Linked DNA regions of Rattus norvegicus. The protein of the gene in region 2 interacts with the protein of the main gene of each other region in a pairwise test. Links are inferred from orthologs where the notes say so. Each region holds a gene or a part of one and is shown on either strand. Other genes may lie near its edges.

What was found.
Region 1: the proteins of Cep72 (region 2) and Mcm10 interact in a two-hybrid assay, tested with the Homo sapiens proteins (2 studies listed by BioGRID and IntAct). The two-hybrid records come from large-scale screens. The link is inferred for Rattus norvegicus from reciprocal best matches to the Homo sapiens genes CEP72 and MCM10.
Region 3: the proteins of Cep72 (region 2) and Pin4 interact in binary tests that used the Homo sapiens proteins (3 or more experiments, as listed by UniProt). The two-hybrid records come from large-scale screens. The link is inferred for Rattus norvegicus from reciprocal best matches to the Homo sapiens genes CEP72 and PIN4.

What each region holds. Positions count from the first base shown.
Region 1 is NC_086035.1:78,173,766-78,178,213, reverse strand, and holds the start of Mcm10 (protein MCM10 homolog), read right to left. Parts: upstream 2,828-4,448; 5' UTR 2,785-2,827; intron 1,312-2,784; 5' UTR 1,229-1,311; coding exon 1,222-1,228; intron 1-1,221. UniProt on the Homo sapiens protein: Acts as a replication initiation factor that brings together the MCM2-7 helicase and the DNA polymerase alpha/primase complex in order to initiate DNA replication. Additionally, plays a role in preventing DNA damage during replication.
Region 2 is NC_086019.1:31,081,000-31,084,372, reverse strand, and holds the end of Cep72 (centrosomal protein of 72 kDa), read right to left. Parts: intron 2,879-3,373; coding exon 2,767-2,878; intron 1,184-2,766; coding exon 1,018-1,183; 3' UTR 510-1,017; downstream 1-509. UniProt on the Homo sapiens protein: Involved in the recruitment of key centrosomal proteins to the centrosome.
Region 3 is NC_086039.1:71,270,869-71,274,951, reverse strand, and holds the start of Pin4 (peptidyl-prolyl cis-trans isomerase NIMA-interacting 4), read right to left. Parts: upstream 2,919-4,083; 5' UTR 2,866-2,918; coding exon 2,823-2,865; coding exon of another isoform or gene 2,790-2,822; intron 868-2,789; coding exon 794-867; intron 1-793.

The DNA.
Region 1 (4,448 bases), on a different chromosome or scaffold from region 2:
CCGGTCAGCACTCACAGGGCAACTGAAAGGAGCCTCCAGATTTGCCACTCTGCCTGCTTCTCTCGGACCTACTGTCCTGCCAGAGCGCCTCTTAGAAGACACCGAGGAGAGTAAAGAAAGAGTGGGCCAGGACCAGGCCGGACCTTTTCCCCTGCACTGCTTTAACGAGCTAGCTTCTGACACTACCAAGTTTCCTGAGATCTGGCCAGTAAGGAATAAGTAAAAAACGCTTTAACATAGATAAAGACCTTGCCTACCGTTTTACTTTTTGTTATTTTTACTTTATTTATTTATTTTCGTCAGGGTTTTGCTGTAGCTGACTTGGAACTCACTCTCTAGACCAGGCTGGCCTCAAACTCAAGAGATCCTCCTGCCTCTGCCTCCCTAGTTCTGACATTTAAGGCGGGTGTCACACAGCCTGGCCCACTGTTACTTTTAAATGGAGAAAGATACGTAAACATTCGTCACCCAGAATTAGTTATCATTAACTTTTCTGTCATATTTGCCTTTATTTGACCTTTAATCATTAAACAACACTTTATTTCACTGGTAATTTCATGTTATAGATAAAATTAACCCAAATCAGAACATAGTTTCTTTTTCTTTTTTGAGACTCAATCTCATGTATCCCAGTACTATGAGGCTGAACTCAGAGATTTACCTGCCTTTGACTCCTGAGTGTTGAGATTAAAGAGCTAAGCCACCGCACTCCACACAGTGTTATTAATTTCAATGTTTGCCTTCACTTTTCTTGAAGAAGACAAAATCTAAAAAACCCGGGGGAAAGTAATAGTTTCTGGCGACGAGCTCATTTATGTCACCAAAGAGAACAACAACTCCCCCACCCGCCATGCAGTCCGCTGTTCAGGGCCCGTGGAACAAACACTCTGTTGCTCCAACTGAGCTGTACTCGACAGAGCAGTATTTTTCCACTGGGATTTTTCTTTGCACAAATTCCTGAAGAAAAAAAACAAACAAACAAGCAAAACTCCAAAGAAAGGACCACCAGAATTTAAATCGGATCTAGACTAAAACCATTTCAAAAGATTTCCACATGCAACGTAACTCTGGAGTCAGACAGCCCAGTTCAATTTCCCGGTCTGACAGTTAGACATCAGTTACTAAGCAGCCCTGGCTCCCGGCTGCTTTGTGCTAGAGTGAAGGACGGTGTGCTAGTTTTCCACACAGCAAAGAGGAAGCCATAAAACTAGACGGCCTTACCATTCATGTTTTCAAGATAATGGCTGAGCCGTGGAAGGGTAAGGAAGGATCAGGTAGCTGGTCCAGGAGATACGCAACAAAGGTTCTGGGCTGCAGAAAAATCAACATTCGAGAAGTCACTGACTCTTCTCACAGGGCACATCCAACAAACCATGTCCCAGCGATTCCGGGACACCACCCTTAGGATTCGCCCAGGACCCGGCACCCAGCATGTCTCCTGCCCTCTCCCATTACCAACAGCCCAGGAGCATCCCCTCCTCTCACATAAGCTCTTCTACCTGGCTTCAAACTGGGGTTAGAGACCAAACTGCCGTGCAGTACAGGGTGTGGGGCAGACTACAGACTCAGTGTGAACAGGAGCTATTCGGGCTGTGGTAAAATTGAGGGTTATTGTCCTGTTTTACTGTTCTAATGCATTTGAAGACTACTTTATCTGTTGAAGCTTAGTGTGAGATGCATAGCTCTACCATAAGTTAGGATTTGTACTTCCACACTACTTGGCAAAGCATAGAGGACCAGAAAAATTAAGATAGAAAGATAACATTGGAGCTGGGTAGGGTATCAAACGCCTTGAATCGTAGTACCGGGGAGGCAGAAGCAGGTTATCAGAACCCTGGCCATCGTGCCAAACAGTGAACTGTGAGAGAGGCTCCAGGGTGTGTGTGGGGGTAGGGGAGGCAGAAGGCCTTTTACCTCAAGTATAGTTTGCTCCCTGGATTGTTTTTTGGACCTGATTTCCAGCCTCCTTCGACCAACATTAGCATTTAATTTATAAGACACATTTGTTCTTGTTGGATGTCAGACCCAATCTGGCGGAAGGACAGGCTGAACGCTGTCTTTGGTGTACCCCGAGTCTGGATATGACCTTCTGCCTTGCTTTACTGTTTCCTCAGATATAAACTGTGTGTGTCAGGCAACTGTGTTTAAACTGTTCTGTTCTGAGAATGATCTGGAAAAGGGCTGTTCTGTTAGTATTTAATGCGTGCTTACTGCACACTTCTTTACATGTTCTTCTAAACTCACTGCTCTGCTACATCGGCGTACACAAGCACACTGAAACTGAGGTTGTTAAGGCGTATGCCGCCATCCCCCAGGGAGAGAGGAGTCAGTGAGGGCGAGCATTTTAAAAGGGTGCTCTTTATGCAGGCAACTCTAACTGCTTTCAGTGGGTTATTTAAACAAGATAAAAGAAACATGAAAGTAACAGGGTACGTATCACCGGTGAGGAAGGGGTTTAGAGAAAAGGGAAGCTAACAGGGTTGAATTGCCATATTTACATGTGCGTACATGAAACTGTGAGAGACAAACTTTTAAAAAACAGAAGTAAAAGGGCGCTCTTAAAAAAAGAAAATAAACCAAAACAGGCTCCTTATGCACACGAGCTCCCAATCTTCCAGCCCCGGCCGGCGCCTTGCCCGTTCCAGCCTCGGCCGAAGGTCGCCTGCTTCGCTCGATCAAGATTCCGGCGCCTCTTCCCCTCAGAGCTTCGCGCCTCTCCCTCAGACCCCAGTCCCTGCGCGGACGCCCAGAGTCCCCGACACACACAAAGGCCGCAAAGCTCACCTAAGACACGGTTGGTTCTCTTGCCGGTCCACACCGGATCCCGCCAAAAATTACAACTGGGCTCCTCCCACCTCTGACGTCGACGCGTTCGTGTGTGGAGGACGCTCTGATTGGCCCACCGGAACTCTCGGACCGCACAGATCCTTGGCCGGGAGGGAGGAAGCGCCGCTTCTCAGTAGAGCAACCTGATTGGTGTAGGCTATCGGACGCCATCTTTGCTAAGGGCAAAGAACTTCCGGTTGGTGAAGCCTCAGCTTCGCGCAACTAAAATAGAGGTTCTGGCGCCCTCTAGCGCGGAGGAGTTCAAGCGTTGTTACCCACTCCTCATCTCCAGCCCATCTCCTTAAGTGGAGGGTAAGAACTAAAGAATCCTCAACTTTTACCAATCGGCAGGCACTCACCGCGGTCCTCACAGGTTTCCCTGGTGTAAGTAAGTAAACCTATCGAAGTCCAAACCAGTTTTGCTGATCCCATGTCCAGTTTTGATTTTAGGATTTAAATTAAATAGAGATGAAAGTTTCTACTTTTCACTCTGGCTGACCTACAGGAACTAACATTTCTTCAGATTTTGTTTCTCCATCTGTAAACGAGGGAAAGGCTAGATGATAGTTTTGGATTCAGAAAATAATATTCCCGGAATAGTGCAGATTCGGGGAACTAGATTATGTCAGAGTTCAGAATAATTTATGAGAACATTCTTTAGTAAAAGTCAAACTTTATTTACAAGTGTTTATACATAGAACTAAAACCATTTTCCAAATGCAGAGAATATTTAGTCTCCATAATTCCAAAGACAGTTTATTGATGTTTGAGACAGGGTCTCTCCATGTAGATCTGCCCTTGAACTTTCTACATGGATCAGGTGAGCCTTGAACTCACAGATTTTTGCTTCCCACCTGCTGGGATTAGAGTGCCTGCCTGAATTATTTTAAAACAGTATGTAGCAGGATGTTGAGTGTCCTGGGATTCCTCCTCCCGCCCCTCCCTCTCTTCTTTTTCCTTTGTGCTGATGATTGGATCAAGGGGCTCGTGGATGCTGACCAAGCCCTGTGCCATGGAGCCCCTGGCCTAGAATGCTTGAAACCTTCTGCCTCAGCTTCCAGGGTGCTGGCATTACAGGCTTTAGGCACCACACCCAGCTCCAGATGACGCTGTTTAGAGGCTGAATACCACTAGTTGATTTGAGATAAGACAGCATTGGTCTCTCTCTCTGTCTCTGTCTCTGTCTCTGTCTCTGTCTCTCTCTTTCTCCACTGTACTTATTCATTTTAGAGTAAGACTAGCTTCAAGATCCTGATGAATTTTTTTCTTGGACCATGGGTATTAATACTCCATTTATGAACTCCAACTCATCGTTATTAAAGCCTATGTCACTGGCCCAGGATTAGGAGTAATTCTAGTGTGAACATGTCACAGTGATTGAGAGACTTCAATGAGATGGACCAGTTCTCGTTGGTATCCTCTGGCTTCTTTCTTCCCCGTGATTTTACAGGTAACCTTTGCTTCCCATGGGATTTGAGGAATATGAAATGGTATCACTCTAAACGGTCAAGCACATATGGATACGGAGAGCCAAGCAATTTGTATTAATTGGTTTAGTGGCAATTTTGAGGAAAGGGGAGGTAGTGATTTTGGGGAAAAATAAAGTAAATTCAGAATCAAAT
Region 2 (3,373 bases):
ATTAAAACACTAACAAAAGATTATCAGTACCAAAATAATCTGAAAATTTAGGCAATATAAATTAACTCATAGACATACATGATGTACAAAAACTGAAACAGAAACAGACCGCTGGCTGTACGGCTCCTGACTTGGGAGCCACAGAACACAGCAGAGCCCTCAAAGCCTCAAAGTTGAGGCTTGAAACTCACTCCTGCCTTGCACACAAAATTGACTTGGGAGTCGCTGCAGGAGTGGAGGGCAGGAGAGCCTTTCTGACAAGGTCCACTAGGCAATTCTGAGCTGTCTCCAGAGTGCAGTACTCGGCAACATTGGTGTGTACGAGCCATCTCTCTGCATGGGCTTCCCTCTGGATAGTACTGTACTGGTGACTGAGTCTGCCTCTTCTCCTGAGCACCTTTTACGCGGTTAGTCATCTGGGATCCACTCTGTACAGTGTGTTTTTAAATCTTCCCCTGGGTTTCAGGTCCACAGTCTGTTTATTTGCAGGAATTATTGAAAGCAAAAGGTTGAGGCACAAGTGGGGAGGTTTTTTATTTGTTTTACTATGACACGTTAACATCATACAAGTTTTTAAAATGTTTGTCACATCTCTAAGTTTACTTTTTATTTCAACTTGGAACTTATTTCTTCCTTCTCACTTTGTACAACTTGTTTTATAGAAGAATTCAATAAGGAAGTCAGTTATAATTTATAAAGAGCCATCTACGGGTTAACTTTTAAACATAGCAATATATTATTTCTTTAAGTAAGGAATGTTTGTCACATGAAAACATTTTAATTATACGAATTTTCCCACATTGGGAAGAAAAAAAAAACTACAGGTACCTTACGCAGGATGTGTAATGAAAACTTCCCAAACGTGAAGAAGCCCCAGGGCGGTTACGTCAATTTAGGACACATAAGCAAGCTGAGCTTACGAATACATTTTGAGGTTCCTAAGGTAATTACAGTCTCAGGAGGGTATTCAGACAGATACATGCCCAGGTACAACCCTGGAGTACAGCTCACTAGCAGCTAGCAGGACTGCCGGCCACCAAGGCGGGAGCTACGGTGTGGGGCCAGGGCCGTAGTCTTCTTGAGCTCCTGGAAGCTCCAGTGCATCTGCTCGACCTCAGCTCTGTGCTGTGCCCGTGCACGGCTCAGCTCCTGCAGGAGATGCTCATTGGTGCTGACCAGAGAGCTGGAGGATGAAAGGAAAGTAACTGCTGTGTCCCAACTGCCACAGACTGGCTGAAGTCCACCAGCATAGAAACAAATATCTCGCCCATGCCCTGGCCAGGTGCTCCCAACTGTAGCAGTGCCAAGGTGACCACTTGTCCCTGGCCCCATTATCTTCTTCCTACTGGCTACTGTCACTCTATATGACCTTCCATACCATACATGGACACGGCCAGAGCCCTTGGCTTCAGCAAGCCTTCCCAAAGGCACTGCTGGTCACTGTGAGTTGAGCTTGGGAATAAGCTGAAGAAGTGAATGGTGATGCCTTCCTAACACACCACAGTTCTATGGCAAGACGATGAGAATCTTTATGGCTAGTAAAACCATATTCCCACTGTAAAGACCCAATACTGCAGTGTTTCTGATTCCTAGTCACACACAGTTAACTGGGACATGGCCATAGCACAGCACAGAGCTGGATTCAGAAACACTAGTGTGTTTCCCACAAGTTCTCACTACTGCTTCGTCCCCAAGGTGGCCATAATGAATAGCATCTCAAGTTCAGATGAAGCAAGGCAACACTAACTTCTGCCATCTTTGAAGATGGCCATCCCATTGAATAAATCTGTATGTGCGTGCTGACCTTGTTTGTTGAAATCACAGAAATGGCTGCTAACACCAGCATGCACATGCGTGAGCAAAAGCCTGGTGGCACTGTCTCCAGACCTCTGCATCTCTGTCTGCACTGGGCCTGCTGGAATCCAGGAGTGTATTCCTTTGCCTGTCACTGCTCTGAATTAGCAGCCCAGGTTCCTTCCTTCCATCCATTCCTCCCTACTTTGTCTTAGCAGTCTTCTGTGCCCAAAGCCTTTACCCCCAACTCTGTAACTCGGGCCTGCCAAGACTTAAAAGGGAAAGCTTGGCTCTGTCTGACCCAACATGAAGACCCTTACATGTGGTCACCTTGTAAGGAGACCATTAACAACAGGAGTTACAAGGAAGAAGGGAGGGTCGGGGAAGAGTAGTGACGACAATGAGCCCTCCTCAGAGGAGGCTCCAGGAACAACAGCTGCTCCGATGACCTGCTCTCTCTCAGGCACTTGCCTCCTTCCCAGAAGACGCTTCCTCAATACAGCCAGGGTCTGCCTTGCCCATGTTAACATTCCTACTCCCCCTTTCACTACTCATACAGCAACAAGTAGAAAGATGATGTCCATGTTTGTAAGTGAACAACCATGACCTCCAGTGATGGGAAAGCACATGCTATAGTGGAAAGCACATGGCCCAGGGGAGCAGAACACTGGACCAGACTTCACCAGCTCTAACATGTACTCACCCCTCAGATTCTAGTCCATACTCCCTGGCTCATACATGTCTTGGGTTGCTCCTGGGTCTCAGGTTAAACACTTTTCAGGTGTACCTCAGAGTACATTCCTTACAGTCATCATCATATCTCATTTTTTACCAAGGGAATGTTCACTCATGTTGAAAGTCAATGTGGCAATGCCTATGGGCCCTGAACACCAACTCCTGACAGATACTGTGTTTCTTAGTGCCTCCCACCCTGTGTCTCAGCCTCCCCCCGTGACCCACTCAGGCAGGGACCTGTGGCTCTCTTGAAGCATCTGTGTGAGCTCCTGGATCTTGTCATAGTGCGCCACGTGTTGCTTCAGCTCCATAACTTCCCCAGAGAGCTGCTTCATACTTGTCTGAAGTCCTGAGGAAGACAGGAAGTAGTATTGTGTAATGATGTTCATCTACACATTTTGATCATTCTGGTTTAAATTAAAGCCAGAGAAAGAATATTAGAGACTCAAAGATGGGGGTGAAGAGTATCAGGCAACATCTGTTTCCCTCTATGGGAGCTAATACCCCTGTTACCTATACCTGATACCCTAAAGCTGGTACCAGCAGATTCCTCCACTGGATCTGCCTTCAGAGTCTCCCCTTTCTTCAGGAAGAAATCTACACTCATTCACAAGGCAGCCTGTGATTTAGGGAGAAGCAGTCTAAACTCTATGGTGGCCACAGATCTGATGACCCACCGATTCCTCCCTACCAGTGCTAGAGCCAGTGCTTCTTCCAATCTATCTGATTCTGATCTATTTCTGTGTTTCCAACTCAAGGGAGGAAAGCAGTACCTTTTATTAGCTTCCTACATCTAAACAAAGGATCCAGATAAACCTACATGTAGACACACGGCTGTGAAACC
Region 3 (4,083 bases), on a different chromosome or scaffold from region 2:
TGAGCCTAACACATCCATTATGAAGACCAACATGCCAGCTCTCATGAAGCCCAACAGAGCCAGATGCCTCCCATCCCAGACTATAATAATAACCACTTCATCTCCACTATCTCTGAGGCATAGGTGTATTGAGTAGAACAGCCCAGATCACATTTTATCCCCATCTTTCTCTCTTCCTTTTATGTTACATGTGTATGGTTGAATTTATAGGCAGAGGCAATGAAATCTAATTTTTTTACCTCCTGTATCTTGATCCAAACATGGAAACTCCTTGTTACATAGCCATACTAGTACAGTTCTGTTTGCCGACAGTGCTCTGGGATAGGGTGATTAAGTGCTTCAGGTAATTATTTGGGGACTATCTCCCACCCATGGTCAAAGTAACAAATTTGTGAACATGTGCATCTGGAGGGCAGGAGATAATTCCCTTCTAACGTGCCATCCCCCTTTTTTTATTTTGAGATAAGGTCTTTCACTGGATTAAAACTCACCAATTAGACTTAGGTCCTTTCTCAAGCACTTTACTGACTGAGCTAAAACCCTAGTCCACAAGTTAACACATTTAAAAGAACAGTGCTAGAAGTTTGAAAATTCTACCCTTTGAAAGCTAAGACTGGATTTTGGTTTCTAGTTTTATATCCTTCCTTTTTCTGTGCACGCGCATCCACTCGCACGCACACACATGCACACAGACACACATACACACATACATGCACACACACACATGCACACACACACATACACACACCTCAATTCTTTACATAGAAAAAAGTTAACACATGAGATAACTCACCTTTACTGCATTGCCACCACCTTTAGGACCCTGAGACTTCTTGTCAGCACTATCGCTCCCAGAGGCTGCACCTCCTTTAGAAAAGAGAGGATACAAACTCATTTCAACTGTACTTTGACATTTATAGATAGGTCTAACTCATAACACAAGGTAATCCATCCATTACAGTCCCAAGTTCCAAAAGGCTACATGGTGAGTCATGCAATCAAGTTAACTTACTCTATGACTCATCTCTAATAACAGGAAATGTACCCTACAAAATACTTTGCAGAAAATAAAGAAATGAGTGTGGGCATGGATGAAGGAGCTCCAGAAGCCTGGTCCAGATTCTTCAGACCCCATTCCAAATCTACCATTATATAAAATCACATAATTTTTATTATGTTCTGTGACTGTGTGTGACACTTGAAACTCTAACATTCAAAATCTCCAAGAATTTTAAGGGGTTTGGTTGTATCTCAGGGGTAGAGTGCTTGCTAATGAATATATATATACATATATATCATATTAAAATATTTATCATTATATTAAAATTGTATATATGTATATATGTATATATATAAATGTGTGTATATGTCTATGTGTGTATATATGTATATATGTGTGTATACACACACACACACACATATATGTGTATATATATATATATATATAATTTCCCCCTGCAGTCTACCACAATGGCTACCGATATCCTCCTAGAGTTTGTGACATTCAGGTTATCAAGCATTGGTAGCACATCTTACTACTCTTAAGTTTTGTGTCAAAGGCAGTATATTAAATGCTAGAAGCCAAGGTGTCTAAGACTAAGTATTTAGCTTAACAATTGTTTCCTCAATAATTCCCAAGTTCCAGTTCTTCAGGTATAAGGTGAATAGGATTCATAGCTACAGCCAAGAGCTCACATCCCAGTGAGGAAGACAGATCACTTTCTGAGAATCCAACAAGTGAAAAGTTGTGGAAGGGACACGTATTTTAGCTAAACAGGCAATATTTGATTGATGAACAGGAGCTGACCAGCTAAAGGACAATGTACTCCTGGTGACCTCAAACTCACATCCTCCTCAGTCTACCATTGCTGAGGCATGGCTTTGTGGTGTCTCACCCATTCTTATACTTTAAAACATCTTGGTTCCTTGGGCCTCTGGGGCATCATTCTACTACACTCCCTTTATTTGTCTCTTCTCTGGGTTCCTACAACCACGACCTTTCTTCAGGCTATTTTTTACCAGAACTACTGAAATGCTCTCTAAAGTACCTCCTGGCCTGTGACCGACCTTAACATCATGTACAGCACACCCTATGATTTAGTCTTCTTCTGCTTTAATACCTTCCTCTTGCTGGCTTATTTGTCTTGAACTTTTACTTCAGTAATGCTAGATTATACAAACTGCTTCTGGGGCTGGACACTCCGGGTCAAGTATGTTTTATCCTATTGCTGCTGCTTATTTCAGCAGTATCTCCAGTTTGATTCTTTACCCTCTTTCCACCTTCTATAATATACCTCCTAGAACTACATTCAGCACAGTACTATCTTCCCCACTTCGTCCAGGAACGACTAAGAGTTGTCTTACTTTTCTAGCCTGAAAACACAGCCATGTGCCCTACACCTGTCTTCAAAAAGTGACTCCCTCCTAAGGGAAAGGGGTATGTCATAATACTAGTTGTTAATAATGCTGGCGTTTCATCAGATTCAATTTTAGTGGTAATAAACCCTTAAAAGAGCAGTTCCAGGTCGCGAGGAACCATCCCTAGTAGCTTCTATCCCGCCACGATGGTCCCTGCACTGAAACCTCATGGGTACCCTGAATCACAGCACTTTTCTGACTTACTAAAAGAACCCCGAACATAAATCGTAGCGGCTCACGGTGCTCTTGGTTACCTTGTTGGCCAACTTATAACACCACCCCCCCCGCGGCCCCCCCCCCCCACAGCTGCCGGCCTACCCCTGCCCTTTTCCTCACCCTGCCGGCCTACCCCTGCCCTTCTCCTCATTCACCCCTAAGCTCTCTGACTGTCTCGGCCGGTCTACCTTTCCCTCCTTTTCCAGAACCACTTTTCCCCTTCGGCGGCATCTCTTAAGCTTGCCGTTGAACTCTCCGGCAGTTGTTCCGGTGCTAGAAAAAGGCCCCTTCAGGCCCCATAGATATGTCCAAAGCAATGCCTGAAAGCAGCTTCACAATCAACTATTTCTGCTGCGGTTCCGGAATCAGGCATAACTTGGGACAGACCCAGTTCATTGGTTCTTTGACCTATAGGAACTAAAGATGTTTGACCAATAAGAAGCCGAAGCCCTAAGGAGAGGCGGGAACAAAGGTTGCCCAGAGACAAAAAAGCCCCGCCTCTGTTCTGTTCCTCAAGGCTTTCACTTGCCCTCATATGCACCCGTTCTATGCTCTCTTTCACCCCCGCCCACTTTTTGTGCATGCGCAGTGCTAGCCTCAGGCCACTGCAGTTCCTTGGCGTGGGTTTTTGCTAATACCTTGGGGATGCTAGACAAAGGGATAGCAGAAGGACCTTAGATAATGGCCTTCTTCTCCTGTCCTTTCACGGACTGACACAGAACTGCACTCCCTAGTGGCTTTTCTTATTTATTTATTTAGCCATTTATTTATATTTTCACAGCAGTAGTTGATGGGGTATAAAAGATGGAATTTTTTTAAGCCTATCATCCCATTGCCTGTGGCAGAAGTCTGTCATGGAGAAACATTGGAAGCAGCCTAAATTAATTTTAAAATAATGATTATAAACTGTGTATACAGAAATAGCCTTAGGGAAGATTATAGACCAAGGTGTAGAATGTGATTTTTAAAGTTATATATCCTGTAGTACATAGTATATACACTTAAAAGATAAGCCATTAATAATGTTCAGCAGCATAGCATGTGACCACTGGTGTCCATCTATATAGTCATTCATGTCTCTTTATTTTCCAAAATTCTTTTCTTTTTTTCTTCCCTTCCTCCCTCCTTACCTCTCTCTTTTCCTTCCTTTTTTCTTTCAATACAGGGTTTCTCTGTGTGTATCCCTGACTGTCCTTGAACTCGCAGAGATTTGCCTACCTCTGTCTCCCAGCTGCTGGGGCTAAAGACATGTGCTACCACCTCCAGCCTCAAACTTTGTATGACAGCACATATCATGCAATTTAAAGGTTGGATTCTGGAAGCACATGGCCTGCTTTAAAACCCGTTCTATTAGTCCTGTGACCTTGAAGAAGCTCTTGGGCTCAGTTTCCATCTTCTGGGAAATGGAGTTGGTAAAGTATCTGCTTATAGAGTATCAGACAATCAATT